2 linked regions of the Canis lupus familiaris genome follow. The protein of the gene in region 2 binds, or shares a complex with, the protein of the main gene of each other region. Links are inferred from orthologs where the notes say so. Each region holds a gene or a part of one and is shown on either strand. Other genes may lie near its edges.

What was found. The genes of interacting proteins can lie anywhere in the genome.
Region 1: the proteins of DLC1 (region 2) and TNS2 are in contact, whole or in part, in an NMR structure (PDB 2LOZ), measured with the Homo sapiens proteins. The link is inferred for Canis lupus familiaris from reciprocal best matches to the Homo sapiens genes DLC1 and TNS2. Residues at the interface, in NP_001335010.1 of Homo sapiens: Glu811, Asp812, His813, Lys814, Pro815, Gly816, Thr817, Phe818, Pro819, Ala821, Leu822, Thr823, Asn824; in NP_736610.2 of Homo sapiens: Asp1268, Leu1269, Leu1270, Arg1271, Gln1272, Gly1273, Ala1274, Ala1275, Cys1276, Lys1317, Ser1319, Ala1320, Gln1321, Thr1324, Leu1387, Asp1388, Pro1389, Asp1390, Gln1391, Val1403, Leu1404, Leu1405, Gly1406.

Annotation. Positions count from the first base shown.
Region 1 is NC_049248.1:44,543,425-44,546,989, reverse strand, and holds part of TNS2 (tensin-2), read right to left. Parts: intron 3,325-3,565; coding exon 3,202-3,324; intron 3,103-3,201; coding exon 3,038-3,102; intron 2,560-3,037; exon of another isoform or gene 2,457-2,559; intron 2,180-2,456; coding exon 2,096-2,179; intron 1,664-2,095; coding exon 1,551-1,663; intron 1,459-1,550; coding exon 1,398-1,458; intron 1,160-1,397; coding exon 1,084-1,159; intron 851-1,083; coding exon 721-850; intron 631-720; coding exon 565-630; intron 469-564; coding exon 355-468; intron 244-354; coding exon 1-243. UniProt on the Homo sapiens protein: Tyrosine-protein phosphatase which regulates cell motility, proliferation and muscle-response to insulin. Phosphatase activity is mediated by binding to phosphatidylinositol-3,4,5-triphosphate (PtdIns(3,4,5)P3) via the SH2 domain.
Region 2 is NC_049237.1:37,354,176-37,357,740, reverse strand, and holds the end of DLC1 (rho GTPase-activating protein 7), read left to right. Parts: intron 1-579; coding exon 580-797; intron 798-1,784; coding exon 1,785-1,958; intron 1,959-2,716; coding exon 2,717-2,837; 3' UTR 2,838-3,067; downstream 3,068-3,565. UniProt on the Homo sapiens protein: Functions as a GTPase-activating protein for the small GTPases RHOA, RHOB, RHOC and CDC42, terminating their downstream signaling.

The DNA.
Region 1 (3,565 bases), on a different chromosome or scaffold from region 2:
CCCCGCAGCCCCCCAGGAGGCGGTCCAGCTCCTGGCGCTCGGCGGCCGTCGGGGGAGGCCGGCCAGGGGACTCGGCGGCCGGCTCGGCGGTCAGCGTGGACGAGTGGCCGGAGTCGCTGCTGACGGAGAGCATGGGGGGCGGAGGTGGCTCCGGGGAGGGTGCCGGCGGGGTCTGGCGGGGGGCCCGCTGCACCTGGGCGTAGGGACTGCCATCCAGAGGTCCCCGGGTGTGGGTGGGGGAGCCTGGCGGGAGAGGACCAGGGAGGGAGTGAATGTCGGGGCCTGCCGGAGGCTCCAGCTCAGGGGCGTCTGCGGCGGGGAGGGAGGGAGTGGGCGGCCGGGCCGGCCCCGCACCGTCCACGCTGTCCTCGTGGTGCTGATTGAAGTGCTCGTAGGAGTCCCAGCGCACGGCGGGCTCTGCGGTGTTGTAGTCAACGGAGACCGAAGGGTCATTCCGTGGGGTGCTGCCTGCGGAAGGGCCACCCAGGTGTTGAGGGCCGGGGTGTCACCTGCAGCCCCGACCTGCAGCCCCGACTTGTAGGCCCGACCGGGGCTGGCTCTCACCTTTGACCTTTTCAGGGCTGGAGGAGAAGACGAACTCCACGGAGGCTTGGAATGGGAACCTCTCATCTGGGAGGGGAGGCGGGGGACACGGTGAGGAGCCAGGTCCCCTGGCCGCCCCCTCCCCGGGCTCCAGCCCCACACCTGTCTCCCACTCACCAGCCCAGGCCTCGTCCAGCTGGTCCTTGGGGAAAGTGAGCCGTGGTCCGTGGATGGTGCACGTGTGGAACTGGACTCGAAACACAAGGGTCCGGTCTGTCCCCCGGCCACCCTTGTGATAGCAGGTCACCTGGATGAGGGAAGGGAGACCGGGGGTCAGGCCTTCCTGTCCGCTGGCGTCCCCTCTGTGCTTCCGTCCTGGGGACTGTCAGGCTGCGGCTCTGCCCTGCCTCAGCTCAAGGCGATGCCCTCGCTGGGGACGGGCTCTCCGCCGGCCAGTGGGCCTCTGGATGACTCACGGGAGACCGTGCAGCTGGCGCGTTCGCCCCCCCATGCACCCCCTCCCCAGGATGGCCCCCTCACCATGACATCGCCCTTGAGGAGGAGGGCCGGCTCCAGGCTGATGCAGAGCTGCTGCGGCCCGGGGCCGGCGATGTGACTGAGGAGGAGAGGGACGGGACAGAGGCTGAATGGGAGGCAGTGGGGCTGGGGTGGCGGCGGGGGTGTGGGGCGTCAGGAGGGAGCCGCGAGCCTGGGGTCTGAGCCCCAGTGAGACGCCTCCAGCTTGCTCAGCATCAGCCTCTCCCTCCTGGTGCACCAGGTGCAGTGGCCGGAGCTGGAGGCGGGGGCGCCTGGGGAGGCTGGAAGGGCAGGAAGGCCGGGAGCAGAGCACTCACTAGATTCCCGAGGTGTAGACCAGCTGCATGGACTGGTAGATCTTGAGGAAGGGCTGGAAGCCTGGAGGGGCAGGCGGGAGAGGGCGCGGAGGGGCGCTCAGCGGAGGGGCTGGAGGACAGGCCTCCCCGCGGGGCGCCTCGGGGCACACTCACCGGTGCCGGGCTCAAAGGCTGGCAGCACGGGCACGAGCACGTAGTGCAGGAAGAGGGGGCTGCTGTTCATTCTGATGGAGCCGGACAGCAGGCCGCTGAAGTAGCTGATGTACCTGCGGGGGTCGGGGGCAGGAGGGGGGGACGTAAGCCTCGCCCCTGGAGGTCCCTCTGTTTCATCTCTACTAAGCACACCCCTGCCCAGCCTTGGAAGGCCGGCCCTTCTCAGCACGCCCCTCCCGTCTCCCGGCTCACTGGAAAGTTCTTCCTCACATCTAACCTCAACCCTCTGCCGTCTCAAAGGTCTGTAGTTGCTGGCTCCCCCGCCTAGCCTGCTCTTCCCCCCAGCCCTCTGCTTCCCATGACGAGGTGGGCTCCGACTGTCCTGCAAGTCTGTCTTTCCCACAAGCTCCGTGAGAGCAGGGACCGTGTTGGGCCTGAGTTCTCAGCGCAGGCCCTGTGTCCCGCGGGTGTGCTGCTCCTACGAGCGACCCTCGGCCTCGGGGCCCGCGCTGCTCCGGTGGCCCAGCCCCACCCCGGCTGCTCACCGGCGCTGGGAGGGCTGCAGCTCCGCGGCCACCTTGTCCTCGCAGAACTTCCTCATGGTAAGCGTGGCCAGCGCCTGGTCTGCCCTGGGGACCGCAGGGCCAAGTGTGGGGGATTAGGGGCTGGTATCTGTCCAGGCCTCCCAACCCCAAGCCCCAGGGGAGGGAGGAGATGTGTGATCCCCTAACTCTAGAGGAAGCCCCGGGGTGGAGGTGGAAAGAACTAGAAGCCCCACATACAGTCACTTGACTACTCGCTGGACCTCAGGCAAGTGTTCCCTGAGTTTTTAGTTTCCTCCTCTGTAAAACGGGGGTGATGAGACCATGTTATGGGTTGAACTGTGTCTCCCCAAAAGATATGTACCTCAGAACGTGACCTTATTTGGAAATAGGGTCGTTGCAGATGGAATTAATTAAGATGTTATACTGGAGTAGGGATGAGCCCTTAATCCACTATGATGGGTGCCCTTAGAAGAAGAGAAGAGACAGACAGACACAGACACACACACAGGAAGAAAGCCACGTGATGACCGCGGCGGAGGCTGGAGGGACGCAGCGGCAAGCCGAGGAGCGCCAAGCACTGCTGGTCACCACCAGAAGCTAGACAGGGGCAAGGAAGGGTCCTGCTCGGGGTCTCAGCGGGAGCGCGGCCCTGCCGGCCTCTCGGTTTTAGACTCCTAGTCTCCAGGGAGACAACTAGTTCCTGTTGTCTTAAGCCACTGAGTCAGTCTGTGACATTTTGTTACAGCAGCTCTGGGAACCTGATACAAATCCTCTGCTGGGAACTGTGGTGAGATACAAGTGAAAAAAGGAGGTGGAAAGGCCAAGTTTATAGGAAACGGCTCTCCAAACACAAAGGGGGGCTTCAAGGGGGATGGGCCCATCACCGGCAGCTGGAGACAGGGTCACTGGGGAAGGGGCCGGTCAGGGGCCAGGGAGCCTCACCCTGCAGAGATCTTGCTGTAGTGCATGTAGGCGGAGACGATGACGCCGAGCTTGCCCTTGCTCCCCTGAGGACAGGGGGAGAGAGAGAGAGAGGGGAATGGAGGGCCAGCCGGCGCCCCAGGCTCAGGGCACCCCAGCCCCGTGAACCCGAGGTCCCAGCCCACCTTGCAGTACAGTACGACCACGTGCTGTGGGTCAGCACTGAGCCACGTCTCCATGGCTTTGCAGATGGAACACAGCTTGTCCAGGGGGGGCGCGTGCAGCTCGGGCCAGCCGAAGTCCTGGACCTGGGCGGGTGTGGGGGTACAACTGAGGGTGGGGGCCGCGACCGGAGAGAGACGGGTGGGGCTGGAAGAGGGAGCGGGTGTAGGGTCAGTCGGGGCCAGGGTCAAGGGGCTCTTGGTCCTCCAGGAGAGCCTCACACTTGCTCGCTGGCACATGGGTTGGTACCTGCTGCGCCATGCTTTGGAGTGTCTCGGGGAGCAAGTCATCCGGGAAAGTGCGTAAGAACGAGGTGGATGCCAATCG
Region 2 (3,565 bases):
TAAAAGCCCCTTGAGGACAGGGACGTCTTTGTGCTTTGCTGATAAAGCTTAGCTTGATAGTATTGCTTGATCCTGTCTTTACCACCTTGAAAAAAAATAAACAGGGCAGCCCTGGTGGCTCAGCAGTTTAGTGCCTGCCTTCAGCCCAGGGTGAGATCCTGGAGACCCACCCCGGATTGAGTCCCATGTCAGGCTCCCTGCATGGAGCCTGCTTCTCCCTCTGCCTGTGTCTCTGCCTCTCTCTGTGTGTCTCTCATGAATAAATAAATAAAACTTTTAAAATAAACAAACAAATAAATAAACAGAGCATCTGGATGGCCATGCAGGCTTTAAGATGCAGATAAATGATCTTCCTTTATTGCATTGACCCTTACATGGGTCCCAAGAAAATAGATGTTCGTAATTTTGACCAGAAAATTGGTCAAAAGGCTGTCTAGCCTGTTCTTGAATATATTTGGGGACACCAGCATATAGGTAATAATTAGCCTCTAAACACATGACCATAAATACAGCTGGCAATTTGCCTTCAAAATATATTTGTGAATTGTCTGGGCACTGAAAAATATATCCTCTTTTCAGGTGAGCGAAGGACCACCTCTGAGGCTTTGGCGGTCGACCATTGAAGTCCCTGCAATGCCTGAGGAAATCCTAAAGCGCCTACTTAAAGAGCAGCACCTCTGGGATGTAGACCTGTTAGATTCAAAAGTGATTGAAATTCTAGACAGCCAAACTGAAATCTACCAGTATGTCCAAAACAGTATGGCGCCCCATCCCGCTCGGGACTACGTTGTTTTGAGGTGAGAGCTTCCAAATGGATTAACAGTAGCAAGGATGAGCCTGCTATCACTGAATGTGCCAAGATAGTAAAATTATGTAAAATAGAAGGTATGCCTCTGACATAATATCGAACCCTTCCAAATAGGGAAAACATATCTCTGTATATTCCAGCAGTGTGTTCATCCCTGAAAATAGTTTGAACGCTTTTGGAATCAAACTCAGAAATAGAAGCACACTTGGGACATCAGAGTGGCTCAGTTTGTTAAGCATCCGGCTTGATTTTGACTCAGGTCATGATCTCCAGGTCAAGAGATCGAGCCCCACCTCAGGCTCTGTGCTCAATGCAGAGCCTGCTTGTTCCTCTTCCTCTGCATTATTCCTGCTCATGCTCTCTTATGCTCTTTCAAATAAATAAATAAAAACTTTTTTAAAGATTTAAGAAAATAAAGAATTAGAGGCACATCCAATTGAATATGCTCGTCGGTAGCAGATTCTTGCCCCTTCTAGGACAGATTTTCTTGCTAGAAACAGCTAGTGAATGCATAAACCAGGAAATAACATTTAAGTCCCAAGTGAGCTGTGGTTAAAGCTGAACTATATGTAATTCATAAATACTCTGGAGACATTATTGAAAGAGGAATTCCAAAAATCTTTGAGGAAATGGCACATCATTAGTCCAGAGCTTTCCAACAGAGCAATACTCAACTGGATGTCTATGTGCTATAATACATTTGTGAAAGGTAAAAATGGTTTTCATTCACCCTTGGTACTAGTTCTCTTTCAAAGAACTGATGTGTGAATATATCCCCACTCTAATGGCTCTGGATGGAGTTGCTTGTCATTCAAGAGCCCTTGGACAATAGTTCAGAAGATGCCATCTATCCAGGACTGGGTCACACAGGAGAGGAACTCATCCTGCCCCTCAGCTGTCTCTTCTGACAGCAGGACCCATTTGAAACTTGGCTTCCAGGAAATTCCATCCTTTGCCTCTGGTTTTGTTTCTACAGAACATGGAGGACTAATTTACCAAAGGGGGCATGTGCCCTTTTACTCACCTCTGTGGATCACGACCGGGCACCTGTGGTGGGGGTGAGAGTCAATGTGCTCCTCTCCAGGTATCTGATCGAACCCTGTGGATCAGGGAAATCTAAACTCACCTACATGTGCAGAGCTGACTTAAGGTAGGTTCTGATTCTGATTTTTTGCCGTGGTGAGGGGTCATGAAGAAGATGAGACTTTTTGTCTGATACAGAGAATGGCCTAAATGAACACATCATTGTATCTTGTCTGCTCTCTAAAGAGCAGTCTTTATAAAGGAACACCTTCATGTTTCTTGGTACTGTGGAAATTGCTTCCTAATTCTGATCCCTTAGAGAAAGTGGCACTAAAGCAATATGAATGTACTGCTCCTGCCGTGAGTTCATAGCCATAGGAAATGAGAGTTTGAGCTAGCCAAGTGGACGATTCACATTTTATAGTCAAAGGTATTTGAATATATAACATGCCCTTTTAGTAATTAATCAGGCCTGCACCCTGTGTCATTGATGAATGTGGGTTCATATCAGAAAACTCATGAAATTCAGTAGTATAGACAAAAACACGAACCTCTTCAAACTTTCCAAAGTGATTACATTCTCATTTGAAATCTTGGCATCTGGGTACATTTTCAACTCTCTATGTGATCTATCTTTGTTCTCTATGCTAAAGCTTTCCCTGAACAATGCACTCAAAATCTGAACTCAGTACAGTTTCCTTGAGAAACTTCGCATTCCAGACATATAATGGATGTGCCACGAGGTTACCTGGGAATAATTGGAGTAATAGTCTTTACTTCCATGGCTTCTGGATCAAGAAATGAAAGTGTCTTCAGAACCCTCTCCGGCTTATTGCAGTGCTTTCCAATCTAAAGAACCCCTCCTGCTTTTCCTTTCCATTGTAGGGGCCACATGCCAGAGTGGTACACAAAATCTTTCGGACATCTGTGTGCAGCTGAAGTTGTGAAGATCCGAGACTCTTTCAGCAATCAGAACACCGAAACCAAAGACACCAAATCTAGGTGATTCCTGAAGCTAAGCGGCCACATCTGCCATCTGGATGTTTGTTTCTGGAAGCCCATGCCGGTCCTTGAAAGAGTGGATTCTGAGTCTAGTCCTGAAACAAAGAAAACTAATTTAGAGTGTGGGGATCAACTAGCAATTGAAGACGTTTTTAAAGCTGCTTCCTGTTTGTTGAAGGTCTAGATTTTAGGCCTTGACTGGAATATATAAGACTGTGCACGAAAAAAAAAAAAAAAAAAGTATTCTTATTCAAATTGCTTCTGAGAAGCAAAGCTATAAATACATTACAGAAAATAATGAAGATACTTCATTCTCTTGTGATACTGGTGTATGTGTACCTATGTCATTTTATTTGCAGCGTGTTGAGGGACTGTGTATCCACTGGAATAGTTGGTACTCTTTGACCTGTTTCTCACTGAGATGAGCAAAGAAAGGTTTGCACAGAGGAGTGTGTGTATGTGTGTTTGTTGCTGGTTGAATGGCATAGTTGTATAAGTTGGAACGCAGTGTCTGGCACACTGAGACGCCTCCAAGAAGGATTTTGATGTGTCAGGTTCAGTTTAACCTGGGATATCTGACTGCCCATGGACCCATCCAGAAAGGGGACCCAACATCCTTGTTCACTTATTTTTTTCCAAGTTATTAAGCACATTCCTTTTTCTTTTTAAACCAACCTCCTCTTTCCTTAAAAGTAATTGTAGTAGGTTGATTCCAACCCCTTCTCAAACACA